Linked DNA regions of Rhinolophus ferrumequinum. The protein of the gene in region 1 binds, or shares a complex with, the protein of each later gene. Links are inferred from orthologs where the notes say so. Each region holds a gene or a part of one and is shown on either strand. Other genes may lie near its edges.

Evidence for each region.
Region 2: the proteins of cytochrome b-245 heavy chain (region 1) and cytochrome b-245 light chain are in contact, whole or in part, in a cryo-EM structure (PDB 8X2L), measured with the Homo sapiens proteins. The link is inferred for Rhinolophus ferrumequinum from reciprocal best matches to the Homo sapiens genes CYBB and CYBA. Residues at the interface, in NP_000388.2 of Homo sapiens: Thr116, Ile117, Leu120, Phe121, Val123, Glu124, Asn128, Asn133, Lys161, Asn162, Pro163, Gly166, Leu167, Ala170, Val180, Thr183, Leu184, Ile187, Leu188, Thr191, Ser192, Thr194, Lys195, Thr196, Ile197, Arg199, Ser200, Tyr201, Glu203, Val204; in NP_000092.2 of Homo sapiens: Gln3, Ile4, Glu5, Trp6, Met8, Trp9, Glu12, Gln13, Ala16, Ile20, Thr23, Val27, Gly31, Phe33, Thr34, Gln35, Arg56, Arg59, Met65, Gly102, Phe103, Leu104, Leu105, Ala106, Ile108, Leu109, Ala112, Cys113, Ile116.
Region 3: the proteins of cytochrome b-245 heavy chain (region 1) and cytochrome b-245 chaperone 1 are in contact, whole or in part, in a cryo-EM structure (PDB 8KEI), measured with the Homo sapiens proteins. The link is inferred for Rhinolophus ferrumequinum from reciprocal best matches to the Homo sapiens genes CYBB and CYBC1. Residues at the interface, in NP_000388.2 of Homo sapiens: Trp28, Asn74, Leu75, Leu76, Ser77, Phe78, Leu79, Arg80, Gly81, Ser82, Ser83, Ala84, Cys85, Cys86, Trp206, His210, Phe212, Pro266, Met268, Trp270, Lys271, Ile273, Tyr280, Tyr324, Phe326, Lys328, Leu335, Glu336, Trp337, His338; in NP_001028218.1 of Homo sapiens: Arg22, Leu26, Ala37, Ser41, Gly42, Asp43, Trp47, Phe50, Tyr51, Phe57, Gln61, Asn62, Glu64, Lys77, His97, Asp98, Gln99, Val100, Val101, Val102, Leu103, Arg108, Ser111, Glu115, Val117, Arg118, Tyr119, Phe120, Arg129, Ala131.

Annotation. Positions count from the first base shown.
Region 1 is NC_046284.1:95,744,567-95,755,060, reverse strand, and holds the start of cytochrome b-245 heavy chain, read left to right. Parts: upstream 1-5,389; 5' UTR 5,390-5,490; coding exon 5,491-5,535; intron 5,536-7,509; coding exon 7,510-7,605; intron 7,606-8,863; coding exon 8,864-8,974; intron 8,975-10,494. UniProt on the Homo sapiens protein: Catalytic subunit of the phagocyte NADPH oxidase complex that mediates the transfer of electrons from cytosolic NADPH to O2 to produce the superoxide anion (O2(-)).
Region 2 is NC_046298.1:33,292,114-33,302,607, reverse strand, and holds the start of cytochrome b-245 light chain, read left to right. Parts: upstream 1-5,026; 5' UTR 5,027-5,108; coding exon 5,109-5,166; intron 5,167-10,494. Other genes in the region: MVD (diphosphomevalonate decarboxylase), read left to right, coding at 214-288, 510-728, 1,123-1,238, 2,190-2,298, 2,980-3,060. UniProt on the Homo sapiens protein: Subunit of NADPH oxidase complexes that is required for the NADPH oxidase activity that generates, in various cell types, superoxide from molecular oxygen utilizing NADPH as an electron donor.
Region 3 is NC_046304.1:55,075,618-55,086,111, reverse strand, and holds cytochrome b-245 chaperone 1, read left to right. Parts: upstream 1-4,572; intron 4,573-4,864; coding exon of another isoform or gene 4,865-4,943; intron 4,944-5,520; coding exon of another isoform or gene 5,521-5,538; 5' UTR 5,539-5,562; coding exon 5,563-5,647; exon of another isoform or gene 5,648-5,648; intron 5,649-6,478; coding exon 6,479-6,520; intron 6,521-7,141; coding exon 7,142-7,215; intron 7,216-7,877; coding exon 7,878-7,974; intron 7,975-8,555; coding exon 8,556-8,700; intron 8,701-9,082; coding exon 9,083-9,203; 3' UTR 9,204-10,217; downstream 10,218-10,494. Other genes in the region: NARF (nuclear prelamin A recognition factor), read right to left, coding at 653-679. UniProt on the Homo sapiens protein: Functions as a chaperone necessary for a stable expression of the CYBA and CYBB subunits of the cytochrome b-245 heterodimer. Controls the phagocyte respiratory burst and is essential for innate immunity.

The DNA.
Region 1 (10,494 bases):
TTCAGTCTTCTTGGGCTGAGCTGGTTCTGCAAGCATGGGTTACTGCAGGAAACTGGCAGAAGGGGACTGGAAATCAAGGGCTCTTCTGATCAGTCATGTGGCAAAGAGTTATATTATGTGTTGCAAACCAAGAGCAGGATAGCAGAGTTCAAATTTAATCCAGGGACATTGGGACGCCAGCTGATGCTCATGAAATGATTTTATTATTTACAATGAAGCCCTAGCTTTACAAAATGGTTCTGGTGGCTCAAACAAGTAGCAATGCACCAGACTGCCCAGATTCAAATCTCAGCTCCTGGATTCAGTAGCCAAGTAACTGGACAAGTTACTTATTCTCCCTAGGACCTTTATCTCTCATCTATAAAATGATGTACAAGTTTCCTATTGCTACTGTAACACATTACCACAACCTGACTGGCTTAAAACAGCACAAATTAATTTGCTTACAGTTCTGGACATTAGCGGTCTGGAATCAATTTCACTGAGCTAAAATCAAGGTGTCAGCAGGCCTGCGTTGCTTCTGGAGACTCTAGAAGAGAATCCATTTCCTTGTCTTTACAGATTCTAGAGCTACACTCCTTGGCTCCTGGCCTCTTCCTCCATCTTCAAAGTCAGCAGCATAGCATCTTCTCACCGCTCTAATCTCTGCTTCATTCCTCATGTCCTCTCTCTAGTCCTCTGAGGATCCTGCCTCCCTCTAATAAGGACCTTTGTGATTACATTGGGCCCACCCAAAATAATCTATAATCTCCCCATCTCAAACTCTTTAACTTAATCACATCTTCAAAGTCCTTTTAACCCTGTAAGGTAACATATTCAGTTTCCAGGGATATGTACAGTATGTAGATATCTTTTGGGGGGGGGGTCAATTTTCATCCTACTACAAATGGATATAGTAATTTTATATACCTTATAGGTGGTTGTGAAAAGTAAATGAGACAAAGCACATAAGGCATTTGGCATATATTTACCACAATCTGGCATCACAAATGTTAGTTGTTGTTAAGACCAAGATAAATCTATACAAATAGATTTTTTCAAGAAAAAAAAGAGAAAATGGCCAATTTACACAGCAGGCATATTAGAAAGTTTTAAATTCAAATCAATGATTAGTGAGAGAAAATATGCAAGCTTTCCTCATTTTCTTCCTTATTCTGATGGATTCATGTATTGAAATCATATTTAACATAAAGAGTTAAATTTTAAATCTTCATCACCAGACATTTTTACCATCTATTAAATGAAATGCCAGTTAAAACCATATTCTTAATTCCTTTAGTCACCTACATCAGTAAATTGTCCCTTCCTCCCTGAGTGTTTCTTCTTTTACTTGATTTTCTCCTTCAAACAGGAAATAGAACATCTGGATCCTATTCCAGCAGCCTTATTCAAATTTCACTAACCTTGGAGATTGTGGTTCTACAATAAAAGTGGGTTTCATTACACCATGCTTTACTAGGAACCCTTCTAGGTATAAGTGGTAGAAAGCCAACTATTTTTTTAAAAGTAGGAAGTGGTGGTGGTGGGAAGGTATGGCTTGTGTAACTGATTTGGATACTATAATATGGCGACTAGATTGACCTTCAAGAATGAAGGACTTGCTCCTCTGCTGTCAGCACCTACAGAGACTGTCTCAGTGAAGGGAATTGTCTTGCCCAAGCTCATTCAGAATCATCCCAGCTTTAGCTCTTTCCCCAGGGTTGCTGAGGCTTTAATGTGACCACGTGATAGTTCAACTTCTTCTGCTCACTACTACTTTCTTATCTTTCCTTCCTTTCTAAGGATGTTTACCTCCAAAGGTACCCTCTACTAAAACTTCTGAACACTAATCTCCATCTCAGAGTCTACTTTCCAGGAACCCCGGTCTGTAAGAATAACTTAGATGTCCCAGGGTTTCAGGCAGACCAGACCCGAGAATTCAAACGTTGTCATCGTATTTGTCTCCAAACCTCTCTGTCTTTCCCCGGCTAGTAATCAGATTTCATTTGTGTTGACATAATTCTTATACAGCTTCTTAGCAGAAGGTAGTAGAGATTATGTATGGCAGCAGCAGGCACACATCATTGACAAAGAGAGAAAGCCTTCACCCTCTCTCCTCCAGAGTCCCCAACAACTCCCTCCGCATGCAAGTAACTCCAATTGGCCTTGGTAGGGTCAAGTGCCCACCCCTGGGACAATCAGTGTGTCCAGGGAGATGAAGTCTTTTTACCGGTCATCCTTAGGCAAGGAGAGTGGGGCCACATAACTCACAGAGGCATATAGAGTGGCAGCCTGGCAATTCCGGAAAGAACAGCGGAGATGAAAGGAACAGAAATCCAGTTTTCATCATCAGCGGGAACAAGTCTCATTGGGAATCTTAGTGTAGTAACACACCTCCGTTTCTTCAGCAATTTCACACACTTTTCTTGGAATAAATTAGGAGCCTAATTTTTCAGTTTGAGAAATCAAGAAGGAATTATACTCAGGATGCAAAGGAAATTTCCGGGAATTTCCTGGAGACTTGGGTCTGCTTTTCTCTTTTTTTCTCAGCCAAAAGTATTAGGATTTCAATCATATGCCTGAGGGTACTGGTCCTTACTGCCTCTTGGAAGTTGTGAGAACTTCCTTACGTTCACCACAGTCTAGCTTGACACTAACTGCTTAGGCGACAACAGAAGCCAAAGTGGCTGGGGAGATAAACTGTTGGCTAATGCATAGAGGCTCAATTTTCTTCACTCTTCATGTCCAGTCAATACCAGTCAACCAATACCTGTTGCTCCTTGATCAAACTCTCTGCCTGTCTTTCCAAGAGCAATGCACATTACAGTTTACTAGAACACTGTTCTCAGAAGGGAACATACTTGCCATAAAAGGAAGAGTTTACTCTTCATTGAAACTGATCTCTTTCACTCCAGCTGTGAGACTGATTTCGGTTCTCAAGACCCAAAAAATCTCTGCTCACCTCCTTGTGATGATTTGCATAAAGGAGAAAAAAAAGCAATAGGAGGGAATGGTTGATTACCCATGGAAGAAAGTCTTTTTTATAAATATTTTTTTCTCCAATTGTGGAGGTTGGGGAAGGGAATTGGAAAATGTTCAAGAAATAGGTTTATGTGAAACAAGGAATATGACTGCTTCGCATATGAGTATTCGTGGTCCCCTTCCCATTGCTTCTCCAGCAGAGCACAGGCATCAGGAAGTGGATAAAAACATGTGGGAGAGACTTGAAGATCTAGGTAGACTAAGGGAGGATGGACCAGTAGTCTGGGAAAGAGAAAAGGGGGAAGAAGTAGAAAGAAGACTTTGATAAACTTCAAAGAGCTCGATGGAGCAGTAGGCATTCCTATGGGAGAATTTGAGAGTGCCCTAGATAGAGCAGGTTTTGAAGGTGTTTTATCCCTCATTAGGCACCTATGCCTCACTTCTTCAATTACATGCGAAAATAAGTACAGGTCTGAATTACTTTTTGTATCAGTCAAAGTGCAGTCAGAAAAACAGAAAGCACCATATTTCAACAGAGGGAATTTCACACCAGGAATGTATTACATGGATGATGGGCAATCAGGGAATCCCACCATGGGTGTAGAGGCATCATCAGTATTCACACCTACAGAAAGTGGTTACAATCCTCAGAGGTGTGGAGAAACTGGGAGGTGGTGGTGTGACTAATACCAGGACCAAGCCAGGACCACCTGGAAGGAACTAGAACTACAGTGGCAGTGGCCAGCAGGAGCTCCTGCCACAGAGGGAAAGCCAGATTGGTGGGAGCTGGAGCCTCAGTGAAAATGCAGTCACTTCAGAGATGCCACTTGAAGCAGAAAGGCAGGGAAGAAACACTCTGGCTTCTTTCCTGCTCCTCATTCTCCGATTTGGTTGAACATACCAGAAACCAGAGTGGCCAAGGAGCCTGGCAAACATACTTCTCTCCAAAACAGAGCCGAGCAAGGGGAGGGTGGGGATTACATCTCAGAGCAGAGAGGCAAATAACTGTCACGTGTTTTGATTGTCTGTGTTTCTTTGAATTCATCTCTGCGTGGAATGGAACCATGAAGCCAATGGCCCTTTATGTGGGTTACATAAGGTCCAAGAACAATGGAGAAGGTCACCGTTGAGTATCTTTCTTTAAATACTAAAAAGAGAAAAATAATGTTACTTTACTAATCGTCATCATTCTGGAGGCTGTCACAAGTTGTTTATACACAACAACCAAAAGAATTCATGCCTCTCCTCTTTTTTCTTCTCTCATTCACTTCTGTTCCTCCAATTTCTTCTTTTACCTCTCTAGGGAATAACCCTTGTGCAATTAGTCAACTTTGATCTCATAGTGGGGTTGCCATCCTGCTCTCCTGTCCCTTTCATGTCCTGACGACTGACTAGTAGTCAGGGAAAAAAATGCTAAATCTGGCTTTTGGCATCTACCACACCTGACCTACCTTTGTTCTGACCCTGTTTCTGACCTTTGTTCCTAGCCTAGAGAATGCCATGTCTGCCTGGGAATGCTATAGTCATCCCAACATTTTAGTATATTGTTATATTTTTATTTCCTATACATATGGAGCCTTTGGAGTGATTTTGGATGGGGTGGGCACACTCAGGCTTTTTTGTTTCTGGTATCATGGTTAAAAGTATAGCCAAACTGCTTGGGTTTCAAATCCCAGCTCCACTATTTCCTAACTGCGTGACCTTGGCCAAGTACCTTAACTGCTCTGGGTCTCAGTTTCCTCATCTGTAAATGTAGTCATAATAATAGAACCTATGTTATACAGGTTGAATTGTTAGAATCAAATGAATTACATATACTGAATTTGTATATGTGTGTGTCATTGTGTGTACACACACGCATATATTTATCAACTCATATGCACATATATTTGTGTGTGCATATATATGTATACGTGTGTATGTACATACATACATACGTAGCTTAGAAAATTAGCACAACATAGACATTCTATAAATATTAACCATCACCATTGTTATTATTTTTCTCAACAAGGCTGAAAAAGCTGCTCTAGCCTATCAAAAAATATCACACCTACTTAATGTTTTTCACCCAGCATAAAGTCTTGTCTAGTTGGGTGACTTTTAAAAAATTTCTAGTTGATAAGTTAATTCACTTTATATTAATGTAATAAAATATGCTAATAAAAAAGACTGAGAACACATTTAAAAAGAAAGGATAACCACAACTTCAAGAAAACTTTAATTCACTGTGTAAAATACATCCCATGAATTACACTGTTACTTGTCACTCAGTTGTAAAAATTAGTTTCATTCATTTTTCACTATGTTCGGTTGTGATTGGATCATTACAGACCCTTTCTCTGTAGTTTGTGGTTTAAAGATTGAAATTTTTTATGAATATAAGCTTTTCAGTTGACCAATGATTAGAAATTTCCTGATAGTAGAAAAGGAAACAGATTGCCCCAAGGCGCTATTTTCATTTCCTCATGGGAGGAAGAAGCATAGCAGAGAAGAAAGGCAGACACAAGACACTGTACCTCTGCCACCATGGGGAACTGGGCTGTGAATGAGGGACTCTCCATCTTTGTCATTGTAAGTACCAATGAGAGATACATTATGAATCCTCTGACTTGTCTGGGTTCTTTTGGGAACTAAAATAGAAAAAAACTTTTTTGTTTGTTTGTTTTGTTTATTTGACAAATTGTGTTGAAACTGATTTACTGTGTGAACATGCATGCATTTGTAAGCAGACTGAGTCCATTCTTTCAAAGTTAGTATTGGAAAGAATGTAACTGGGGGCTCACTTCACCTAGTTTATTTTTTGAGTTTTTAGGAGTACTAAATTAGCCAGCATTTCACAGAGGGAGTAGAAGACATTTCATGATAATGATTCCTGAGTCTGAGTTGTTTATTAATATTTGCTCTGAGACAAATTTCTACTTTTTGTGTGTTTATACCACTTTAAAAATGGGCAATCAAAATTTTATGCCATTTTCCAAGGAATAAGTACAAGACTGGTTCATGTGCGGGAAATTGGCCTTTATTTCAGTAATTACACCAAAAATAATTGAACTTCTCAACTGTGGTTTTTTTTTTTTAAGTATCTTCTTTTCTCTGAGGTAATTTGAGTTATTTGTAAAGTTTATAAAAAAATCAAGGGAAGGGAATTGAAATTAGATATCTAGACTCATATACAGTATATATATTATATGTGATTATATATATAAATCAATATAATATATCTTGAGAAATAATTTTTGTAAGTAAAGATATGGCTAATTTTCAAATAAACACATTAGTTTATTTAGTTTTTAACATAACAAATATCAACTATTATTTTATGATGGTGGTCTCAGCAAAGCAATCATGGATAATTGGGAAGATAGAAATGTGATTTATAACTATCCTTTTCAAATATCCAATGAAAGCATTATACAGAGGTTAAACAGAACTCTTATAAAAGGAACTTTTGAAAGAATTAATCATGAAGTAAATATTCAGTCTTTGAGTTTTCGAGATACAGAGAAATTAGTGGCACAAACATAATTAAAGCAACAAATATTTTGTCATGTAAAAAAATTATGCCAAAGCAACATTTAAATGCAATATAGAATTCTTCTGAGGAGTCAGAACTATTAACTTGATTTCTTATCACCATTTGAAGAACAGATAACTCCTGTAGAAAACAAGTTCAAATTATACTTTTAGATCCTACCACAATTTTCCCCAGGAAATGACCTTCTAATTACATACTCATATATTCAATTCAAAATGAAGGCACCACTTGAAAAGCAAGAGTAAAAAAGACAAGATTAGGAAACAGACAAGTTGTTTTAGTGCCTTCTTTTTAAAGAGAGACTGTTCTCAAGTGTCTATGGACATTTAGTGCTTCAACACATAGTTAAGAAAAAAGATCACTATGGAGCTGAACGTAGAGGACTGGGCAGTATCATCGATTGATGCAGTCAGTGCTTCAGATGAAACAAGCAATTAAAAAAAATCCTATGACTTTCACCCCCTCATTCATGCTCAATATCCCCTCCTTCAAAAGTTAAGCAAAAGTTATCAAATACAATTAAAGGCTTGACTGTTTAGCTGATGAGACCCCCACTAGCTGGGTGGGATGCTGTGTGTGTGGTGGAGGAAGTTTATCGGCACCTGTGAGAGTAGAACACAGTGTCCTACTGGAGCAAGGGACAACATAGCAACGTGTTCCATTCCCTTGTCTTTTTAGAAAGAGTCACCTACTATCGTCTCTCTATCTAAGGTTAGAAAGAAAAGAGGAGGAGAAAGAAAGGAGGGAAATTAGACTGATAATAACTCAGCATACTGACCAACTGGTAAAACAATAATGGGGAACAACATGGGGTGGAAAGGTTAATAACAAGGAAATATAACAATGCTGCCTGGGAAAGAGCTGGCTCTAAAATGGTTATAACCAGTTTTGTAAGCACCCGTATCAAAGGCTGGAGTTGGGAAACTCCTGACCCTGGTCTGACACCAACATTGTGTGAAATGTACCTGTTTAAATGTGAAAACTTCATGCAACTGTTTCTCTTTGTGCAGCTGGTATGGCTGGGGTTGAACGTCTTCCTCTTTGTCTGGTACTACAAGGTTTATGATGATCCACCGAAATTCTTTTACACTCGAAAACTTCTTGGGGTAAGTATAAGTTCCATGTCATGCAATATTGACTAGCTCACATTTTTTAATCAAAAATTCACGTTCATATTCCTTTTAACATTTTCAATAAATATTCTGACCAACCTGAACAGCACCATCAGCCTCACTCCCTCCATTACAACCCCTTGGGGAGGAGTCTTTAGGCTTTCCAGTGTGGGACAAACAAAAGTGTGGCAGAGGGTCACAGCAACATCCCTCTCTTCCCAAAAACCACTGGAGAAACGTTTAGCTTAGAGGAGGCATCTAATAATAGCTCTGGAATGGAAGACTAGGTTGAAGAGATCCATCCAGGGGTAACACAGGTGGGACAAGTGGGACTTTCCATATTCTGTAAATCATCTGATTCCTACCACTTTTGTGCATGGAGAGCCCCGCTCCTAGTGACATGTTATGAAATGATCTTCAGGAAATTCCAGTTTCATTGAACTGCCAGGTCTCTTCTTCTTCATTACAGATGAAAATAATTTCATCTGTCCCTTGAAGATATTGTTTACTACCTCATGCTGAAACCGTGAATTCATTACTGAATAAATCTAATTATAATATGTATTATACATCATATGTATAAATAATTAGATCATCATACTACATTATTATGGTTGTTGTTAACTTATTCAGGTTGATGCTGAGAAGGATGATTTCCTTTTGCTTTCCCTCTCCAATATATACAACTTCTTTGGGTATTTTAAAGAACAATTACAACTCCAAAGCATTACACCATACCAACTTAAGTTACTGTTGAGGTTAGTCTAAGTGCTAAGAAAAGCTTTAAAAAGCCCCAGTTTCTATACTGAACTCCAGTTAATGATATGCATGCTTAAGTATTTAGGAGGAAGTGAACTGATATCTGCAATTTACTTTGAAAAGCATCAAAACTAAGATGTGTTGATGGAGGGATGGGTAGATAGATGGATAGATATGTGATAAAGCAAGCGTAGTAAAATGTAAAAGATGGAATCTGGGAAATGGGTAAACAGGTATTCATTGTGAAATGATTTCAAATTCTCTTTATGTTTGAAAATGTTCATAATAAAATGTTGGGGTGGGGGGTAAGGGCCAGATTAAAACAAAGGGTACCAGCAGGCCCTAAAAGTAAACCTTTGGCTCAGAAGACCCTTCCTTTCCAGATAACTTGATGTCTCTTGATATGTAGGCTGCATGTTGGGAACTCTGGGGAATTGGGGGAAGTGTTCTGTGCTTACAGGTGTCACCCTACTCCCTCTCCTGCCTCTTCTAGTCAGCACTGGCGTTGGCCAGGGCCCCTGCAGCCTGCCTGAATTTCAACTGCATGCTGATCCTGCTGCCCGTCTGTCGAAATCTGCTCTCCTTCCTCAGGGGTTCCAGTGCGGTAAGGGCAAACATTTACAATGTTTGAGTTCCTCAAAATTTCAAGGCCATTAAGCTAAATGCCCTTTCCTAAGAAAAGGAAACCAATGGTTTGTGAAGATTCTAACCTCTGTAGAATGTTCATGAGCTAAGCCATGCCTGATCTATAGTTTATTTCTATATTATTTGTTGATGGAGCTTCCTGGGACAACCATTTAACCTGGAACAGACATTCAAACAACAAACAACCACCAATCAACTTCTACCTCAATAAAAGCAATAAAGCACGTGTGTGTATGCACACACACAGACATATATAACATAAAGTATAGGTATATGTATATACAAAGGGCTTTATGAAGCTGATGTGAAATTTGGGAATTAATCTTACACTATCATGTTTCTCAAAATTTTTAAGTCAGAAAAAAATCTCTTTTGTGGATCATATCCCAAGCAGATGGAATCAATGGGCGATGAGTCACACCATAATGAATGCAATTAAGAGGTGTTGGGTCTGGGGAACTGAGAGATTCAGAGCTTTCTAAATGCCCAGGACTTCTTTCACCTTCACTTCAGCAATTTCATGAGTTTCTGAATGTACTATGCTAGAAGAAAAAGATTATGAGATTATGTAGGAAGAACTTCTGTAATCTATAAAGTGGTATACAAATTTCTTACAGATATTAATATACAAAGATGAGAAACAAGGAACTTAGAGTCTACACACGTACTCAAATAAATGGGTCCCATAAAACGTTACAAATAAGGAGCTACAGGGAATCAAAGGAGGGGGAAATTACATCAGGTGGGGCAAGAGGTGAAGAAAGGCTTCTTGGAGAAGATGGCATCAAACATGGGCATATAAAGATAAAATAAGCCTCTAGGAGATGTAAATGAGAGAGAAAGACTTTCTACCTGGAGAAAATGGCATGGGCAAAAAAAAAGCACAGGAAATGGTGAGGGAGTCGTATTCTTAAAAGCCCTGCGTAAACATGACTTCTGGCTTCTCTTTGGACTTTTTTTTCTTTTTTCTTTTTTTTTTTTTTTTGCCATTCCTGACCACACCTAAGGGGGTAGATCTTCCAAAGTTAAGGATTGACGCCCTGGTGGGACCCATTCCACTGGCTTATTAGTGACTAGTAGCCTCTGTTTTTTTCTTTTAATAAATGTTTTTTATATTAACTAACTTAAAAAAAAAACCCTATGAATTAGAGATCATTTCTAGAGGAGAGCAGCAAACAATCTACTTTGATGAGAATATAGGGACTGTAAAAAGGGCAGATGTCTGGGGTAAGGGTGGAGAGGAAGCTGGGACTTTACTGGTAAACTAGGACTTCGAATGTATAGCTGAGGAGTTGATACCTAATTTGGCAATCACAGAATATTTTGGGGGAAGGAAAGTGGTCTAAACTGTCAATAACAAGTAGAATTTACCTTGAACTCTGCCTCATTTTTCTTAGTCATACTAAATTCACATTGATCCCAAGGAAAATTTGTTTTTTCTTTAAGAACTATACAGCATTCAATTTACTAATACAGGAT
Region 2 (10,494 bases), on another chromosome or scaffold:
TCTTGGTGGAGCATTCAGGAATGACTCCAACGTGGCAAGGGGGCTACTGGTCTAGATGTTGCCATTGCCAGACCTGTGTCATCTCTGCCTTTGTCAGGAGGTCTCCATGGTCAGGAGGCACTGGCTCCCACCCTGCTGTCTGCAGCAGCTGAAGAAGGGAGGGACGGGATGGGTGTTTAGGATGAGGTCCAGGCTGTCTTTCCCTCATCTCAGGTGAGCGCTGAGAAGAAGCCAACTAGCAGCACAGTGGGCATGCAGACCAGTGTGGAGACCAGCGCCTTGCTCAGGGTAAGGCCAGTGCTGGGACAGATGCCATCTCGCCAGGACATGACCTGCATGTCAGGACACACGCCAGACTCTACCCATGTCCTCCGAAGCTGAGCTCATCTGCTCTGCTGGACATGTGCATGGATGCTGAGACTTTGGCGGGTGCTGACCCAGAGCCTGTGCTCTGGCTGCTATGCTGTGAAGCCGCCAGTGCCTCATTGGGAAACGCCTATGCCTTGCAGTTCCGGGCCGAGGCGGTGGTGCCAGCTCGCATGGCAGAGATGACCCGCTACATCAAAGAGAGGGACTTCCAGGGCTTTGGCCAGCTGACCATGAAAGACAGCAACCAGTTCCACGCCACCTGCCTGGACACCTTCCCGCCCATCTCTTACCTCAACGACGTGTCCAGGCGCATCATCCACCTGGTGCACTGTTTCAACACCCACCATGGGCAGACCAAGGCAAGGCGGGGCCGGGGCGGCCCTGGAAACCCGTGGAGTGGGCTTGACGCAGTGAGCTCAGTAACACCATGTCGTATCCCAGCACACGCTTGGCTGTGACAAAGCTTCACAGAACCTGCTTTACACCCCTGTGTGCAGGGCGCTGACAGTTTCCGTTTCACTGTTTCATTTTGGTTGCCTGACCCACTAAGGGATCGCAGCCCAAACTCTAAAGCACTGGTGTGGGGGACTGCCTCCCCGCCACATCCTTAGTTGGCGGGCAGAGGTGCCACCACTCCACTCGCGGTTGGCCCTGTGGGCACTGTGGGAGCTCCCGGGTCTCCATGGCAGATGAGAGGGCCTGAGAGGGGTGGAGCCACTGTTCAGGCGATGATGTTGACTGCTTGGGTTCCAGGTGGCGTACACGTTTGACGCGGGCCCCAATGCCGTGATCTTTACCCTGGACGACACTGTGGCCGAGTTTGTGGCCGCTGTGAGGCACAGCTTCCCCCCTGAGTCAAATGGAGACAAGTGAGTTGTGGGTCCCCCCATTTGGGAGGCCTTGGAGGGAGGAGCAGGGTCTCCTGCTGAGCTCGGGACAGCTGCACCTAAGGCTGCTGCTGAATGGGGAGTCCCGCAGGGGACCACAGGCTGTGTGTCACTAGTATGCCTTGCTGTGACCATGGACTCGTCTTCCTCATACACCCCAGCCCCGTGGTCACAGAGACGGGCACATGCAGCGTCATGGCTCCTATGTGGACAGTACTCAGGGCCCCACTATGGGGACGGAGCATTTGGATTTCTTCCTACCCGTTGTTTTAATGGTCCTTTCTCAGTGTGGGGACACCTTCCTGTAGGGGTGTTGGAAGCGTGCGGGGTCATTTTCTCTGTCTCCGTAATTGGGGTAGTACTGACGTCTAGTGAGTGGGAGGCCGGAATACTAACTTCCTTACCAAGTAGAACAGACCACACTACCATGATGGCCCCCGAGGCCGCTGGTGCCCTCGTTGGAAGCTCTGCTCTCATTGGCCTTGTCACCGCAGTGAGTAGTGTGCAGCTTTTCCTGTTCTGAGGAACATGGTAATGGACTCTTGCTTGACCTGAGGCATTTTCTTCTTAAGTTGTGTTACCCTACTGGGTGGAGCAGTAACCCCAGGCCAGGGATGAACTTAAAACCTCCGGGAGGTTTCTGGAAACCCTCCTCTTCACAGTGACCCCAGCCAGGTCCTTGGTTATTCCTGCTTAGTTTTTTTGTGTGTGCGGTAAAGCACACATACACATAAAGTTGATGATTTTAACCACTTTAAAGTGTACACTTCAGCAGGATTAAGTACATTCAGTGTTTTGCAACTAGCATTTCTATCTGGCTCCAGAATTTTGTGACTCCACGGCAGTCACACCCCTTCCTGTCTCTTGGGTCTGCGTGTCCTACGTTCTTCCCATCAGTGGACTCACAGCACACTCATGCCTTCCTTTCCCCAGGTTTCTGAAAGGGCTGCCCGTGAGGCCTGCCCTGCTCTCAGACGAGCTTAAAGCTGCGCTGGACATGGAACCCACCCCTGGCGGCATCAGATACATCATTGCTACTCAGGTGAGGCCTGGCACCAGCCCTCAGCCCCAGGGCCCAGGGGTCCCTGCGGCCCAGCACACCTGGGGAGGGCCCCATCCGGCACACAGGCCTTGAGGACTCAGACCTGGCACGTCTACCCGGTGAAGGGACTCCCCTTCAGCCCCACTTCATCTGGGCTGGGTAGCCAGGTTGCTAAGAATAACAGCAAAAGGAGGAGGAGTACCACACTTCTGTTTTCAAGGCATCTGGTCCACTATGGTTTGTTTCACTCACTCGCTCTCAGCAGGAACATTTTAAGACATGCTGTGAGGTTTGGGGCAGCATTCCCAGTGCTGAGGGGGGCAGGTGAGGCTGGGAATGTAAGACTCCAGGAGACAGGTGCGACGGGTCCAAGGACCCTCAGGGCTCGCCCACTGGAACCAGATCTGGGTCCCTGCTCAGAGTGGCCGAGCCGGGATTTCACTCAGATCGTCGATTCCAAGTCCCCATGCCCTCAGGTGCCCAGGCCCCGGTCTCTACCTTTCATTGAGTCTGGGTGATAGAGGCCGAGAGACCATGTAGCTCTGTCTGAGGAAGTTGGGCACAGGGCCAGGGTGTCACCACACGGGTGGTCAGCTTCTGACCTGCCCTTACCTGGGAGTTGGGGGGTATACCTGTCCCTCCCTGTCATCCCAACCTGACACTGATTTCTCTACCTGCCAGGTGGGGCCCGGGCCTCAAATCCTGGATGATCCTCTCGCTCACCTCCTGGGCCCCGATGGCCTGCCAAAGCCAGCTGCTTGACCAGTTTCTCGACAGGAGCCTTGGCCGCTGCTTGGAGAAGGGCCGCTTTGCTGGGAGAAGGGGCCACTTTCCACTTTGCTGGGACTGGGGAGCTGCTTGTGGCGGTGCCTGTACTATGCTTTTTGGGGCTGGTGGGTGGCCACCTCGCCCCAGGCCAGGCAGTATGCCGGGGCTGAATAGGGGCAGTGGAGTGACCACTTGCAGGCGCCAGGTGGTCAGGAACGGGCCCCCCACCAAGTGCCTCACCTTCCCCACCTGCACCAATACTGTGCTGAGATGAGGGCTGGGGTCAGATGTGGGACCTGGGGGACCGAGCTGATGGTGGTGAGCTGCTGGTGTGTCTCCCTGAAGGATCTCTGGCCCTGAGCCCTGGAGCCACTCGCACTGACTGAAACAGGAGCTGGGCCACCGGAGATGATGGGGAGTTGGCATCCCTCTGTGGAGCTGGAGGACCAGTCACTGCAGGGAGCTGCCTCTGCAGGCTCCAGAGCCCTCCATAAAGTGCTTTGAACATGACAGTTGTCCCAGCTCCTCTGCCAGAGCTCAGGCCACTGGGTGTGGACGTAACGTTTCTTCATAAAAAGACCAGGAGTTGTCTCCAATGGGAGGTGGGAGAGCAGCACCATGGTGCGTTGTCACAGGGAGCCCTGTCAACAGACCACGGAGAATAAAGCCAGCGTTGCTGATTGGGCCTGGCGTGCTTCTGTCTAAGCAGTGTTGCTGTGTAGGCCGTGGGCAGCGCTCAGCGGGAGGGGTGGGGAGGGTGCGGGCTGCGAGCCTCCTGCAGGAGCAGAGAACTTAGAACTCGCGCATTTGCTAACTTGCTCCTGAAGAAGCTGCCTTCTCCCAAGGTCCCCTCATTGCCCAGCCCTGTGGTGGGTGTTCAGCACACAGCCACCCCCCAGGGCCACAAGCCACACTCAGTGGCTATGGCTCTGACAGGCCTGGGGACATGGTTTGGGCCGGCTTTAAGCTCCCAGTCCATGAAAGAAAGTGGGAAGCAGCTTTGCAGGGAGGAGCACTGATTCAGGAGGGTTCCCCTCAGCCCAGAAGCTTATGGGTTCTGGAGCCCAGGAATTGCTTGCACTTCTAAATGGGTTTTTCCATTGTGTGCAGGTCATCGACCTCCTCTCCACTTTCCCAGCTTCAGCACAGTTGGCTTAGAGGAAGAGGAGAGTGGACATGTACACCTATTGACCTACCTCCTGGTTTCCTGCCTCTCCCCCGGAGAGTCAGCTGCTACCGCTGCTGGGTGGGCAGAGGAGGGAGATGACAAAGGGACAGGGCCAGCACTCTGACATTCTGGGTTTTCCCAGGAGCTTTGTACACCCTGTTTCCTTCCCCTAAGTTAGTCCTGTGGACAGGGCTGCTCACCATACTTGCACTAGCCCAGGGCCAGATGAGGAAGTAGGCGCTGGGCCTGCCACTGACCTTCCTATTGGGCACTGACTTCCAGGGAGGGGTTCCCCAGGCTCTGACTCCTGGTCTGAGGTCCTTCTCCCTTGAGGGGAGTTCCCCCGACCCCGCAGTGGGCATGGTGAAATCGCTGGACCTTTAAACCCTTCTGGGAACCTGGCCTGCTCACTGTCCTCTGTAAGCACCTAAGAGAGCCCAGCATTATGAGGGCACTTTGCCTTCTGAGGCAGGTGTCCATCTCATTGGTCCCCTCTCTGCCTATGTCCAAGACCCCCAAGCGATGCTCAGGATGTCCCAGGTTGACCAGGCTGGGAGCTGACAGGAGAGGTGCCTGGCACCAAGTGGGTGGGGGCCGCTGTTTGCCCCGGGGAAGTGAGGCAGGGGGCCCCTCCGACCCTCAAGCAAAAATTCTGTTGTGCGGGGCAGACCTCCGGAGCACCGCCATAGCCTCGGGCCCCTGCTGTCCAGGCCCGTCACTTGGGAGCGGGACCGGAACTCGGGGCGGGGCGGGGCTGCACCCGAGGAACTAGGGGACAGGGTGGGGGTGGAGCCGGAACTTCGGGCTGGGAGGTGGCTGGCGCGCGGGGCTCAGTGTCCCAGCGGAGCCAAGCCGAACCGCGCTGCGGGTCGCCATGGGGCAGATCGAGTGGGCCATGTGGGCTAACGAGCAGGCGCTGGCGTCGGGCCTGAGTGAGTGAGCCCGGGCTTGGCCCGCGGGGCGGGCCGGCAACGCCGAGACCCCGGGCTGCAGGCCGAGGGACCGGGTGGGCCGGCCACGGGGCCGGGGAGCCAGGGTCCTGACGAGTCAGAGACTCGGCTGCGGGCCGCGAGGCGGGAGCTGAAGCCTGGGGGTGAGGGTCCCCAAGACTTATGCGGAAACCTGCAGCTGCGTGGCGGGGAAGTGGGCCTGGGGCTGCCCGGCAGTGGGAGACCTCGGGCTAGGGAGGCGGTCTGGAGACCCTCCTGTCCCCGCAGATACCCGCGCCCCCGTCCCCTCCCCCTTTCCACTGTCCCCTTTTCACCCCCTCCACCCCACCAGGACCTCACACCACCGATAGAGGAAGTTGCAGCCCTAGGGGAAGAGGCCTTCACCCCGGGTGCTTTCCGGGGAGTTACCACCCTCCAGGATTGGGGAAACCTGGCAGGACCACCCGCTCCTGCTGTTCCTCCTGCCCTGGAGTGGGGCTTCACCCCAGGGGTCGCGACGGGCTCCCTCCCCCGCCCTGAGCCTTCACAGGACATCTAAAACAGCCCAGAGGGACCTCTCCCAGCCCAACTATCAGAGACTGCTTCTGGGGAAGGATGGCAGGCCTCCTCAGTCACGCTGAGCCTGTGTTCAGGAGCTCTGGTGAAAACACAGTGGGGTCTGCACCCCTGTGCTGTACTTGGAAGTGGAACCTCTCAGGGATGGTGAGACTGGGCCCAGGCAGAGTCTGAGGCAAGAGGAAGCTGCCCAGAGGTTCTGCCCGCCTCTGGGGACCTGCCACTTCCAGGAAGGACCTGCACCCAGTGGGAATGAGTGGGTGGAAAGACAGTAGGGAATGTAGTGATGAGGAGGGTCCTAGCCCACCAGCATTCCCCTGGGACCCACCCTGAGGCCCCTCTGCCAGGGGGACAGGAGTCTGGTGAAGCTCTGGGAGGGAAGGGAGCAGATGTAAATGAAGTCTCTCTCGCCGCTGAACTGTAAGATCACGTTTTTGTAAGATCACGTTTTGGGGTGAGCAGTTTTGGGTCATGAAGCCCAATGGTCTGTTCAGGCAGGTCACCCCCTTGAGTTTGGCGTCTAGGGTGAGAAGTCAACGAGTGAGAAGTCAGTGAGTTAGATAGTTGTCACTTTTTTTTTTTTTTTAAAGATTTTATTGGGGAAGGGGAACAGTGTGTACTTCCAGGACTTTTCCAAGTCAGGTTGTTGTCCTTTCTTAGTTATGGAGGGCGCAGCTCAGCTCCAGGTCCAGTTGCCGTTGTTAGTTGCAGGGGGCTCAGCCCACCATCCCTTGTGGGAGTTGAGGAGTCGAACTGGCAACTTTGTGGTTGAGAGGACGCGCTCCAACCAATTGAGCCCTCTGGCCACCCGGGAGCTGAGCGGCAGCTCATTGACTTCATTCTAGTTGTGGAGGGTACAGCTCGCTGGCCCATGTGGGAATTGAACTGGCAGCCCCATTGCCCAGAGCTGGCACTCTAACCAACTGAGCCACCCGTCCGCCCCAGTTCTCCTCACTTCTCCCCAGAGTTGTCCCCAAGCTGTTCCCCTGTCTGCCACAGGTCATGAGACCTTAAACAGCTGCAGACCAGCCTCCCTTCCTCTTACAGCTCCTCAACCCCCAGGAAGTAAAAGGCGACAGAGGGCACCAAACTGGGAGCTCTCTGAGATGCATGGGTTTGAGTCCCCTTGGGTGCAGCACCCCCAGCACCCCCGTTCATGGCATGCCCACTGTGTGCTGGCTGAACCTTCCTTGCCTTAGCTAATGTCCTTAGGGTCTGAGGCTGGAGCTGTTCCTGCATCTACTTTACAGACAGTGAAATCAAACCTAGAGAACGTACAAGCTGCAGCTCAGTTTCCTCCATCACCAAATGAGGCAGTTTATTGGAAGGTCTTCTAGGGCCATTCCTGCTCTGAGTTCCTCCTCTTGCTGACTTTTTTTCCTGATTCAGTATAAATTGCAGCCACCTGAGACTGCTCAGGCCTGGCTGGACCCTGCTAGCAGCTGCCTCCAACAGGCTTCTTTTTTTTTTTCTCATATGTTGAGCTTCTTTTTTTTTTCATATGTTGAGCCGTTCTTTGAGCCGTTCTTTTTTATTTATTTATTTATTTTTAACAGGACTTTATTGGGGAACAGTGTGTACTTCCAGGACTTTTTTCCCAAGTCAAGTTGTCCCTTCAGTCTTAGTTGTGGAGAGCGCAGCTCAGCTCCAGGTCCAGTTGCCGTTGCTAGTTGCAGGGGGCGCAGCACACCATCCCTTGTGGGAGTAGAACCGGCAACCTTGTGGTTGAGAGGACAGGCTCCAACCAACTGGGCCATCCGGGAGCTCAGCGGCAGCTCAGCTCAAGGTGCTGTGTTCAATCCCAGCTGCATGGGGTGGAGCCCACCATCCCTTGTGGGATTCGAGGAGCTGAACTGGCAGCCTTGTGGTTGAGAGCCCACTGGCCCATGTGGGAATCGAACTGGCAGCCTTCGGAGTTAGGAACACGGAGCTCCAACCGCCTGAGCTACCGGGCCGGCCCAACAGGCTTCTTTCTTATTGTAGAAAATTCCATCTAATCAGATCATGTCCCCTCCTGCTGAAAACCCTCCAGTGGGTCCAATTGCGAAGAATAAAAGCCAGATTCTTACTGCTCTGTCCCTGTCCCCCTGCCTTCTCTGTCATTCCAACTGCACAGGCCTCCTCTCTGTTCCCAGATTTCCTAGGCATACCCCAGGACCTTTGCATAAGCGGTTTCTTCTGTCTGAAGCATCCATGGCTGGCTCCGCCATTCATTTCTCAGTTCAAATGTCACCTGCTTAGAAAAGTCTTTCCAGAGCACCTAGACATCTCTGTCACAGTCTCTTGTTCTAGTTCACCATCTCTGATGTTTATTTCTGTCCCCTCCTGAGACTATAAGCCCCACGAGAACTGAGGCCTTATCTGTCCTGCTCCTGCTTCGTCCCTACATTCACTTACAACACCCAAGAGAGTTAATACATAGCTGAGCTCAACTCCAAGGGTGGGGAATAATGCTGGCAACAGAAGCGGAGTGAGGTTTCTAGGTGGTCGGTTGGGGCAGAAGGAAGGGGTACCTAGGGAATTGGGACCAACAAATGCTCGGGGTTTTACCCAGTGGGATTTTGGAGCCTCTGTGTGAAAAAGGGCTGAAACTAAGCAGCATGCCTCAGTCTAGAGCCAGGAAAGGCTACTTGTACAAGACACAGACTAGAAAACTGTCCCCCCCAAGGAAGCAGCCATCCGCTGCCAGGGCCTGGATGAAAAAAGCAACAAACAAGGCAAAACCCCTGGAAGCTCAGGCTTGTGCTACCGTGTTTCCCCGAAAATAAGACCTAGCTAGACAATCAGCTCTAATGCGTCTTTTGGAGCAAAAATTAATATAAGACCAGATCTTATTTTACTATAATATAAGACCAGGTCTTATATTAAATTATATTATATTATACTATATTATAGTATATTATATATATTATATTATATTATATTATATTATATTATATTATATTATATTATATTCCCGGTCTTATTATATAAGAACCGGTCTTATTTTACTATAAGACCGGTTACTATAAGTCTTATAGGTCTTTACTATAAGACCTTATTTTAAAATAAGATCGGTTCTTATATTAATTTTTGCTCCAAAAGACACATTAGAGCTGATTGTCCGGCTAGGTCTTATTTTCGGGGAAACATGGTATGCATGGGGTGAAGGCTGAATCTACTCTACCCTGTGCTACAAGGACCACTGACCAAGAAATTCAGATAGACTCCATTCAGGACTGGAGAAACCTATAGAAGCAAATGTGAAACTGTTCTGTAAGGGCATTTCCTCAACCAGGACACAAGTCTGCCACAAGAAAACAGATCCTGCTGGGCACAGCTCACAAACATACCCACCGTTTGAGGAAGCAGGCACCATTAAACAGGAAAGTGTGCCTCCTTCAAACCACAACTACTAGTGCCCTTTGGGAGAGACTTAAGAATACGTGTACCTGTTTAAATAGATGGTTATGTTCAAGGGGAGAAAGGAGTAGAAAATTATAGAGGACAATGCAAATAATGACTAATATAGAATGTCTAGAAATAAAAAATATAAAGTCATTAACGGTTAATGGATGAATTAAACACTATCTATAGATGACAAGAACATTATTAAAGTGGAAGATGAATCTAAGAAAATCTCACAGAATGTAGCTGAAAGAAGTTGAGTCGGACAATAGTACAGGAAGACCCAACATATATATATATATTGGGGGTTCCGGAGAAGAGAATCAATAGACTGGAGGGAGGCAATGTGAAAGGGATAATGAACATTTCCAAAATTGAAGGAGAAAAGAAAGTTCCTTATAAAATAAAGGAAAATAAATCCCTTCTTGGACACATTGTAATAAAATTACAGACCATTAAAGAAAATCTTCATTTTTTGTTTTTTAAAGAAATTTCGAGGGTCAGAAGCTTTTACTTATTTTTTAAATTTTGGGGGGGAATATTGGGGAACAGTGTTTCTCCAGGGCCCATCAACTCCAAGTCGTCCTTCAATCTAGTTGTGGAGGGCGCAGCTCAGCTCCAAGTCCAGTCGCCGTTTTCAGTCTTTAGTTACAGGGGGCACAGCCCACCATCCCATGTGGGAATGGAATCCACAACCTTGTTGTTCAGAGCTCACACTCTAACCAACTGAGCCATCCGGCCGCCCTGAAAATCTTCAAATTTACCAGAGGGAAAAATGGATTAGTTTAAGACTGATTTCAGACTTCTTATCATCAATAATAGATGCCAGAAGACAATGGAATATTATCCTTGGTGCTCAGACAAAAACATGAATTTAATATCCAGATGAGCTATCATTCAGAATGAGAGTATTTTCAGATATCCAGAGAGTTGCTGCTAACATACCCTCATCAAAAGGACGACTAAATGATGTACTTCAGGAAGAGGGAAATTGGATCTTGAATCCAGAAGAAAGGATGGGATGCTAGAATGAAGATATTGGTGACTATTGACTGTAAATAATTAATAATAATGAGTAATTTGGGGATGAGATTGAAGTTAAACATTCTACATGTGGTTCAGAAAGAGGAATTTTAAAATTAAAGTTTGATCAAGTCAGCAGGAGGCAGGAGAAGCAACAAAAGCACTTGTTAAAGAGAAAACACAAAACAAGATAAAATAAGTTACAGTTATCTGCAATCACAGTCCATAAAATCTGTTAAGTACACTATCAGATTGGTCAAAAATTCAGCTATATCAGCTTATTCGTAATAGCCCAAAACTGGAAGCAACTGACATTTCCCCAAGATGGAAGAATGGATAAATTCA
Region 3 (10,494 bases), on another chromosome or scaffold:
CGTTACTACAAGCCCTTAAGTTTTTAGGAAGTATAAAAACCCCTCAAAAACACTACCAGTTGTTCACGTCAAGAACGGTGCTCGCTACGACTGCCCCGCGGGGTAACAGGCTGGTTTGCTTTCCTGCGGTTCCTGGCTTCAGAGATACTTGGAGCGGATATTTAAGCGCCCTGACAACTAGAGAGACAGCAGCACCCAAATGTAGTGCCAACCGAGGGCGCCTGCGAAGGAAACCCGACACGCACGCAGCAGCACCAAACGCCTGGCAAGGCGCAGAGTCAGCGCTCACACCACGGGCTGCTCGGAGTTCCGAGCCATCCACCGCCCTCGTCCACCCACCCGCCGGCCGGACGGACTGGTAGACAGCGACTGCCCGAGTCTGACCCCCGAGGGCGGTCGGCGAAGTGACGCGGAGGCCCAGGCCCTCGCAGCGGCCAGTCCGGGACCGCGGGCGAGCGGCCGCCAGCGCGCCCCCGCCCAAGCTCGCCGAGCCGCCCGCTCTGAGGACAGGGGCTCCAGGGCCGGTCAGCGAGCAGCCCCGACGCCCTGACCCTCACTCAGCCTCCAGTCCCGCGACCCCGGGGGGCCGACCCCCTGCCCGACCCCCTGCCGGACCGACCGTCGGGCCCCAGCCGGAGCGCCCGGGGCCCACCTTCCGCGTGCAGTGCTCACACTTCATCTGGAGCGGGGTAGGCGAGGGCCGGGGTGCGTGACCTGAGGGAAGCACCGGGAAACTCGGTCACCGCCGCCAGCCGCTCGCCGCCCTTTGTTGTCTTCGCCCCCGGCGCGGCCCCACCCAGCGGCTCCGCCCCGCCAATAAGGGAGCCGAAGAGGGGCGGGCCCGGCCTTGGACCCAATCGGAGCGTGCGGGGGCGGAGCGCGGCCCGCCTCATTCGGACGCCCCGGAGGTCTGGGCCACTTTTCGCGCGGCGGCGCGGAGTGAGCTAGTGTCGGAGGCAGTGAGACGTGTTTGTACCGCGGCCCTGGGGGACGTCAGCTCCGCGCCGGTCACGCACCTCTCTTCTGGTGCTGGCCCGGCGGAGACGGCGCCGCCCCAGCGAGGAGAGGAGAAGGCGCGGCCCCGGCCTGCCGCCATTGCCTCCCCGAGGCGCATCACGTAGGCCGGCGACGCGGCAGTGCGCACGCGCGGCGGTACTTTGGCAGCACGTGGTCCGCCCGAGCACGAGGATGGTGTGAAGTGTGCGCTGCTGAATACTGGTGTCTGGTCTGCGTCATAGCAGGCGCATTGGGGATTCGGCCCTTACACCTTACAAAGAATATTGTTTCTCCAAGAAATGATACCACTGTGCAGGGCTAAATGAAAATGGAGTCTTCGTGATACACATTTTATAAAACCAGTGCATAGTCACACAGGACAATTAGAAATGGGAGCATGCTTGTTAGAGTTAAGAGTAAGAAAAGCAACTTGTGTGTGTCTTTATCAAACACCAGGCGTCCTCAGGAATCCCAGAAACTTTGCAGTCACAGAGATCAACACAAAATATGTGAGGGTATTCCAGGTCCCAGAAACCTAACCAGGGTCTTTTAATTTTTTACCCATTAATTTTTTTTTTATTTACAGAATTTTTGGTTAATACAGCTTTTTACAAATTGAATTCAGGTATTAACTGGCTGCCAGATTAACGTTCTGCATTGTTCAAATCCATGTCAGCACTGCTCAGAAAACACCTTCCTTCAATTTTCAGCACAAGAGGGTAAGTTTAGGTTATCATTGTACATATTTTTGTTAATGATTTTGAAACAAACAATACTATTATCATGTGTGAAAAAAGCAAATTACACTTACTTAATTTAATCAAAAATATAGTGTCCAGGTTTCCCCAATCAAATTCTTTTTTTTAGTTTAAATTGGGATCTAAACAAGGTCCAATATGTTCTAATAGTCTATATTACAATTTGTTTTTGTATTTCTTAAGTCTCTCTTTTTTTAAAAAAAAAGTCGTTTTGTTCTGAAATAACTTGAGGATCACTTAGAAGGTGCAGATAGTACAGAGAAATCTGTGTCTTAAGTCTGTATCTTTGTTTTGTTTTACATGTGTAGGTTCCATTCAAGAAATCAGATTGTTCACCTAGGGTTTCTTGCAATTACTGACTGCATCCTCCTGGAGTCCTTTAGTATACCTTTGCCCTCTGAATTTACAGTAAAGGGTAATTGGAACGTTCTAGTGGCTTGATCCTAGGTTAAATTTTTTTTTTTTTTTTTTGGCAAGACTACTTCATAGATGCCAGTTGTGTAATTCCATGAGGAGTTTCTACTTTTTGTGATGTTAATTACCAGCCATTGATGAAATTGCCTAGCTCGATTAATCCACCCACCCATCCATCCATTAGGGTGATATTTAAATCCTACCATTTGTTCTTCATTTATTAGAGGGAATACTTCTATAATGAGAAATTCTTCTCCACTGTTTGGTTTCTCCGTTGTAAAGTTTATAAAGAAAGGCAGGATAAATGCTTGATTCTTTTCCTTCATTAACTGGTCAAAAAGACCAAGTTTGTTTCTCATCATCTTTCAAAAGTGAACAAAAAAATTCCATTATGATGAATGATGTACTTAAATACATGAGTATTTTCAATTCATTCTAATTATGCTTATTGTTGCTCAAATACTTATCTTTTTTCAGCAATGAGAATCTCTTCAGTTAGGCTCTGAAGTTCTTCTAATAAGACACTAATAGTCTCTCTGCTTTTTGATACATTTCCTTGTTCATTTTTTGCTTCAGATCCGAAATCAGTCTTTTCTCCAAGAACCAAGAAGAAAAGGTCTTCTTCCTGCAGTGTCTATCCATCACCCTCTATTGACAAAGCTTAACATCACACTAGAGAGCACCAAAAAATAAAAATAAAATAAAAAATCAAGGGCTCAGATCCATTTTCACAGAGCAGGCAATGAAGTCTGGAATTTAGACCTGAGATATAATGCGTTGATAATTGGCACAGTATACAGATTTTATTCACTCAGTTCCCCCACTTAGGGACATTGTATTTACTTCCAGTCTTTTGCCATTACCAATATTCAGCAGGATTTTAACCAAATCAGGTATTATTTGTTCACTCATTTAATATTTGCAGAACGCTAGCGTAGCCTTCATCTTTAAATGGTTTATAACCTAGTAGGAAACATGAAATTATACAAATAACTGTAATGCAAAGTAGAATTTTATGGGTATCAACTCAGTTCTACCTAAATTCAGAGAAGTAAGATCACTTCCAGCTGCAGCAAACAGTAAAGACTTAAGGAGTTACCAACAATTTAAATGGACCTTCAAGATGATGTAGAATCTTAACAGAGGGAGGGCCGTTTCAACAAAGCAGAATGTGAGCTGAGAGAACCTACCGTGTTCAGGCAGAGCCCAGTATTGCTGCAGCTTACAGCAGAGGTTCTCAAGGTGTGATTCCTGGACCAGAAGTATCAGCAACATCTAAGTTTACAGGTCCCACCCACTTCTGGGAATAGGGCCCAGCAGTCTGTATTTCAACAAGCCCACCAGGTGATTCTGAGGCACGTTTAGGGTTAGGAACCACAGGCAGAGAGTATCCGAAGTCGACTGGTAAAGGAGAAAAGTTGTCTCCAAAATTTTTATCGTGTCCGTATATTGGTAAAACTGCTAGGATTATACATACTGATGTATGTATATTTTTTATGAGGCAATATTATACACTATTGTATTAAACTATGTAAATTACAAAACATGTAAAAATAGATATTGAAAGAAAAATAAATAGGAACGCAAGCTCTAGTATCTTCTTCCAGTATCTCACAGATCTTGCTCATCCCACTTTGGAGACCACTGAAGTAGGCCATGGCTGTGCGGTGGAGGCTCTCCTGTTCCAGGTAGGGTCCGTTTCCTTCATCTGGTTGGAAATAGTAAAGGCAACTTTTAAACAATTTTTACCATAAATTTGCACACATCTGTTGTTAGATTAACTTTAAATGCTTCATATTTTCCTGGCCATTTTAAACGGCGTTTTTAGGTATAAATGACAGACCTTCTAAGGGTTCAGTTACCCCAGACGTTCTCAGGACAGGGAGGGGGCCTCCACAACCCGCGGCCGCCACTGCACAGACCACTTGCTCTCTGATTGCATTTGCTGGCTCCACTTGCTCTGCAACAAAGCCAGGGCTGTTCCGGGATCATTTTTCACTCTACCACGTTGGGGTGGTTAAATGGGAGGCCGGAAGTCAGGGTCGCCCCCAATCCCAAAGTCAGCGCTGTCGCATCCCCTTTCCTACATTCCCTCCGCTGGAGTCCAACCACTCGGAGGATACGCCGTCCTCACGACTGCTGAACCAGCACCACACCCAGCTCCTATTCCAGGAGTCTGCGGTCCCGCCCCAAACCGGAAGTCAGCGTCGCCCCGCCCCACAAGTCCGGAAGTCACCGCCGTCCCTCCCCACCCTGCGGGTGCGGAAGTCAGACGACCCGCCTCCAACCCCGGAAGTCAGCCCTCACCCTGCCCCGCGGGTCCGGAAGTCAGTCGGCCCGCCCCCAACCCTGGAAGTCAGCGGACCCAGGCCTCCCCTGCTGCGTCCGCCGGTCTGCGTTTTCGGTAGGCGACTGGCAGTGGTCGCCATCGCGGTGGGCATTGGGGGTTGCAGATCCCGTTCTCGGGACTGCGGGCTCGGGACGCATCCGCGTCGGCCGGTGAGGCCGCGGCCGGGGGGCTGCAGGGGTTGGGCGGCAGGCTGGCGGCCCTCGCTCAGGCCAGTGACCTTGCTGCGCGGGCAGCCCAGACGCGCGTGGAGACAGATGAATGACGTAAGCGAGGGAGCCCAGTGATGTGCCAAGATGCAGGATTCTTGTGTGAGAACTAAATCCGCTAATTTGATTTCACTTTGCAGAGAATATCTGGGCAGCGACTCAGAGCCGGGTCCCGGGGGCCAGCGTCTTGACTGTACTGGTCTGCAGGGTGAGTGCAAGGTCAGCTCCCTTGGGGGACTCACTGCTGCAGCCCATGCTTTTAGACCTGCGGGCCCCGACTGTGCAGGCTGTTGTCTCAGCAGCTGGAGGAGACCCTGGAGCAGGCTTTTTGTGTCCATGCCAGAACAGACTCAAACCATGAGGAGACTTGCAGTTCCCCTTTTTGGCGGAGGCCAGCACAGGAAAATGAGGGAATTCTGCTGGGCTCTGGTACAGTGCCGGCAGCTTGAAGGCTGCAGCGGGCTAACGGTTTCTGAGACTGACGTTTCCAGTCCCAGGTCATGGGGCAGGTAATGATCGAGTGCTTGATGACGGTTTGCAAGTCTGAGCAGGAAGTAGCCCAGTGCAGTCAGTATAACTCAGTAGAGAAGGGCCTAACTTACAGAGAACCAGTCCCTGGGGGATTAAGTGATGTGCTTGGTGGCCACAGAGACTGCGGTCAGCACAAGCTGACTGGTTACCCAGGCTGTACTGGCCTTGCTGGTGGGCCAGCCCCGGCTTCCTGCCCTGGTGAGCCAGACGCTTGTCAGTGGGCAGTGACTGCAGGGGTCCAGCTGTCTGTGTCTGCCCTCCCCAGCTCCTGGTCTCCTGTTGAGAGTGGTGCCCACACGGTCCAGGGATGTACATGCAGGTGGAGACGCGTACCAGCTCCTGCCTTCATTTGAAGAGGGCTCCGGGCATCAGATCCTGGTCTCTGCTAGTTGGTGAGGATTTCCATATTTTCCCCCAAATAAAAAAACCTGCCTTTAAAGAAGGATGAAAATTAAACGGAATTTTTTCCCTTGTTTTACTATCGCAAAATATAGTAACTATTTTACTTTGTATTCTTGCAAATTTTATCTTATGTGCATAGATGTTATAGATGATGTATGTCTATCGTCTTTTTCACCACCTAACATCCTTCCGTTAACGCTGTGTGCTCTTCTGAGGTCCCTATACCCATGTTTCCTGTTTCACTTGCTTCCATACACCTGGTCGCAGGTGTCTGTGATTTATGTCACAGGCCCACGTGATGGGCGACAGTGCGTCCGTTTTTCCTCTTCCTCAGTGAGGAGTAAGTGGGGGAGGCTGCCCTGGCCTCCATCTCCGCCACTCAATCGGAGGGTCCTGCACCTGCCAGGCAGCTGCATTGTGTGGACTGGACTGGAGGTGTGAGGAGAGGCTGCTGTGCCTTCAGTAGCCTGTCTCTGGTCTTTCTCTCCCATGACCCTGCATGTGACCTCCTGCCTGTTTCTCGTGTTGTGATTCTTTGCTACCCTCCTGTCTTCATTCCACACCACGTGGGTAAAACCCACCTCAGGCCCCTGTCTTGTTCCCCAGTCAGCTCTGGAGGCTCGCATGGACGGACATGTCCAGTGAATACTATGAACAGCATATGCCATGTTTCTGAATGAACTTCCTGGCTGTTCCCCCACTTCTGAATCTGGTGGTCTTCTCTGCCCTGCTCCCCGCCCACAGCCATTGTTGACAGTGGGGAGGAGGTGGGCTCTCGCTGGTGGGGGCCCAATAGGAAGGCACCCGCTTTCTCTTCGCAGGAATATTGTCGATTGGCCTGGCTGCTGCCTACTACAGTGCAGGTGAGATGCACCATCTGCCCCCCAGGAACTTCCTCAGCTCTTCAGAAAATAGAAAAGGCAAGCCCATGGCTTGTGATCCAAGGCCTAGCTTCGGCAGCCCTCACCGCCGCCCCCTGGTGGTCCATGGGCACTGCACCACCTTGGTGCACTACCCCGTGCACGGGTCTTCTTCCTAATGCCCACGTCCCTTGCAGCCTGCGCCGTTAACTTCTTACATCTCGGGCATTTTCTTGTGTCAAAAATTATCCTTCGAAAAGGCGCTCTCTTGAATCTGCTTAGGGTTCTATTGCAGGGACGCACCATGCCGTCAGCCACTCCCCATGAGTGTCCCCACTTCTCCATCATCACAAACCATGCCATGACCGGCAAGATCCGACCACTTGAGTAAACACCCAGACCCAGAAGAGCTGAGGGAAGAGCCGCTGGGATGTGTCCCACATGGTCCTGAGTGACAGGCAGGGCCAGCAAGGCCAGGCAGCTGCCCTGGGTGGGGACCCCCAGATGCCACCCCTGCCCTGTCTGGGAAAGCAGCTGTGCTGGGGGGTACCCTGTGGGCAGATTGGCCTCTGCCCCTCTACTGCCATCCTCCCTCACTGGCTGTGCCCTGTGATTACCCTCCAGATAGTCTGGGCTGGAAGCTCTTCTATGTCACGGGCTGCCTGTTCGTGGCCGTACAGAACCTGGAGGAGTGGGAGGTAAGGCCGGCACCGGTTTCAGCTCGGGTTTGCTGCAGTGAGACTCTGCAGGCAGGCAGGTCCAGGCCTGGTGCCCCATCCTGAGACGCTAGCGCAGGGGTTTCTGGTTAGCTGGGCTCAGCCCCTGGGTGTTGGCTGTCCGTGACTTCCTGGGCCAAGGAATCGTCTGAAGCTATTTTTCTCCTCGAAGCTCTTCATGACTGTTTTACCCACTTTCCTCCTGAGTGTTGTAGCACGGAATGAAACGAGGTGCCAGCCTGCTGCCTTGGAGGCCAGTCCCCTCCTCCTTACTCCCTTCCTGAGTCCTTTGAGCTGCCTGGCCCCCATTCCCTTGTTTGATGATCTTGGCCATTCTACTTTTGCTGGCAAAAAGGAGAGAGCACCTGCCTTGGTGTCCCGCTCTCTTTACCCCCGGCCTGCTGTGCTCCCTGAACTGTCTGGAGTCCTAGGGTCAGGCTGCAGGTGTTTGGCTTTGGCAGGGCAGCACTTGGGGCATCAGGGTTACTGGGATGGGAAGGAAAAGGGGTGCCCCCTTCTTCAGTGCCTGCTCTGGCGAGGGTGGGACAGTCAGCGAGCTCAGGCCCCCTCCCTGGAGGTTGGTGTGCAGTCGGCTCATGACAGAGGTCAGCAGCCGGGTGACGACCCTTCTGGGGGTTTTCCAGGAAGCTGTCTTTGACAAGAGCACTGGGAAGGTCGTGCTGAAGACGTTTAGCTTGTATAAGAAGCTGCTGACTCTTTCCAGAGTCGGCCATGACCAAGGTTTGTGGGGATCAAAAGGGACACTGGGTACTGCGAGCTGGATGGAGGGCAGCGAACGTGTGTGATGGCTGGGACCGGGCCGGAGGCCTGGAAACACTTGGTGAACGGGGTTGTGGACCACCTCACAGACATGGGGTGCCCCTAGATGCACCCTGGCCTGAAGGCTATTGCCAGGCGGCCCCCAGCTCGTTGACCAGACACTAGGGTCCAGGAAAGCATTTACAGCAGTTGGGGAAAGGAAGCAGCAAGACAGGCAGTATCGTGCTGAACTGCCCCCTGATGTGTCAGACTGCTCATGAGATGACAGGCAGGCTTCTCAAGGCCACGATGGGTCCAGCAAACATTCCTTCTCACCCAGAGGACATTAACCGGCAGCGGTGTGGCCCTGCACTGGTCACTGACCTGTGACATCCCAGGTCAGCGTCTCGGCTGTGTTCTGAGGCTGGAACTCAGACAGTGACCAGCGCTTTCTGCAGAGTAGCCAGCATGATGCGGTCCTCTGCAGAGGCCCCTGAAGTGACCATGCCCAGCACATGGGGGGGTGCTGCTGCTGCCATGCACCTGACCTGTCCCCACCGCAGTGGTGGTCCTGTTGAATGACATCCGGGACGTGAACGTGGAGGAAGAGAAGGTGCGGTACTTTGGGAAAGGCTACGTGGTGATGCTGCGCTTTGCGACGGGCTTCTCCCACCCCCTCACCCAGAGCGCTGTCATGGGCCACCGCAGGTAAGCCGAGGCGGCCAGTGTGATGGGCCAGGGCTGCTCAGCTGGGTCACCCTGTCGGGTGGTCCTCACAACAGACCATGCAGTACCGTGGGGCAGCCCAGTGGGGCACGGGGAGAGGCGGCTGGGGACAGGCCTGCCATCACCGCTAGGGGGTGTCGGGGGTCACCACAGGGACAGCAGGGGATAGGGATGCCAGGGTTCCCCATGATGACGGGACAGGGGATGGGGGCCTCAGGGGTCCCTACAGGACAAGGGCTAGGCTGGGGTCAGGTGAGGGTAGGGGCCAGGACGGAAGGTGCTGGGTCCTGGTGGGGAGCCCTGGTGGTGCTGGCACTTCTTAGTGTGGCAACCAGCCCTTCTTCTCGGTGCTGGCCCGGCCCAGTGACGTGGAAGCCATCGCCATGCTCATTGCCACCTTCCTGGAGCTGCACCGCCTTGAGAGTCCCATGGAGCTGTCTCAGAGCAGCGACAGCGAGGCCGACGGCCCTGAGAGCCAGAGCTGACCCCCCTGGAGCCCCTGGCCTTGGTTCTGACAGCACTTCGGCAGGCCTGATGGGCCACCTGCCCATCTCCCTCCTCACCCGACTGAGTCCCTGGCAGCCCCAGGGAGGCATTCTGCTGCTTGATCTGCCCTCTGAGCAAAACCACAGCTGGACCTTCTCTGCAGCCTCCAACGGGTGCAGGAAGGGCATAGGCCTCCTGGAAACACAGTGCCTGAACAGTGTCGGTGTGACAGGGCTGGGGCCAGCATTCCTGCCGAGATGGAGCACTGGAGTGGGGAGGTTTGCCAGCTCACGTCCCACGGGGATCCAGCGCGCAGGTTACAGTGGTGCTTCAGCAGGCCAGCGTGGGGCCAGCGGCTGGGTCAGGCTCTGCAGACACGGAGGCCAGCGTGTTCCTGGGATCCCAGCGTCTTCTCCGACCGGCCCCACACAGCATCCTTCTCCTGTCCAGACGTCCCCAGTAGTCACAAGTGCTTGCCTGTGGACACTGTGGGGCTCTTCTGGTTGCTGCAAACCGCTCTGTACCAAGGTGGCTCATCTCGTATCCAAGCAGGACTACAGCTGGGCTATCACGGGGAGCAGCCCCTCCCTCCCCTCAGCCCAGGCCAAGGCTACTTGGCAAGAAAAGAGGTTATCTTGTCCAGCGTCATGCATTCAAACCAGGACCTCGCCCTTAGAAATCAGAGTCCCAGCTTCTCTCAACCCTGGGAAGACCTGGCAGTTGGGCTTGTTGGTATGTGGCAGGAAGTGGGCTGTGCCCATGCAAGCTGGACCCCGAGAGAAGAAGCTTCAAAGCTGCATCTGGGAACTGCCGGGGAGAGCTCAGGAAACCGGGGATCGCCCAAATCAGGGCTGCAGCTGTCTGGGGGACAGTAAGGACAGCAGTTGCTGGCATCTTCTCTTCTCGGCAGCCAGCCCTTAGTTTGGGAACAGTCATTTAAAGCTGCCCACTTAGGTTTTTCAATGGCCAAATCTGAAATGCTTTTTCCCTAAAATAAAGAGTGAAATGCTGTACTTGGGTTCTGGTACGTTCGTGTGGAGGGCTGAGAGATGCCCTGAGGAGGGGTAGGGGTCGGCCTGCCAACCCCACGCTCACCTGGGCTGGCTTGTTTTGGACCCTGTGCTGGGGCCGCTGCAAAGGCCTGACTGCCACCAGCCTGAGCCAGCGGCATAATGAGGTTGGCCAATTCCTTCAGCGTGACTTGGAGCTTCTACTTTCCTTTTTATTTCAAAAGCATTAACGTTCTCTGCCAGACCAGTGAACGGGGCCCCACGTGCATTTCCTTCCGTG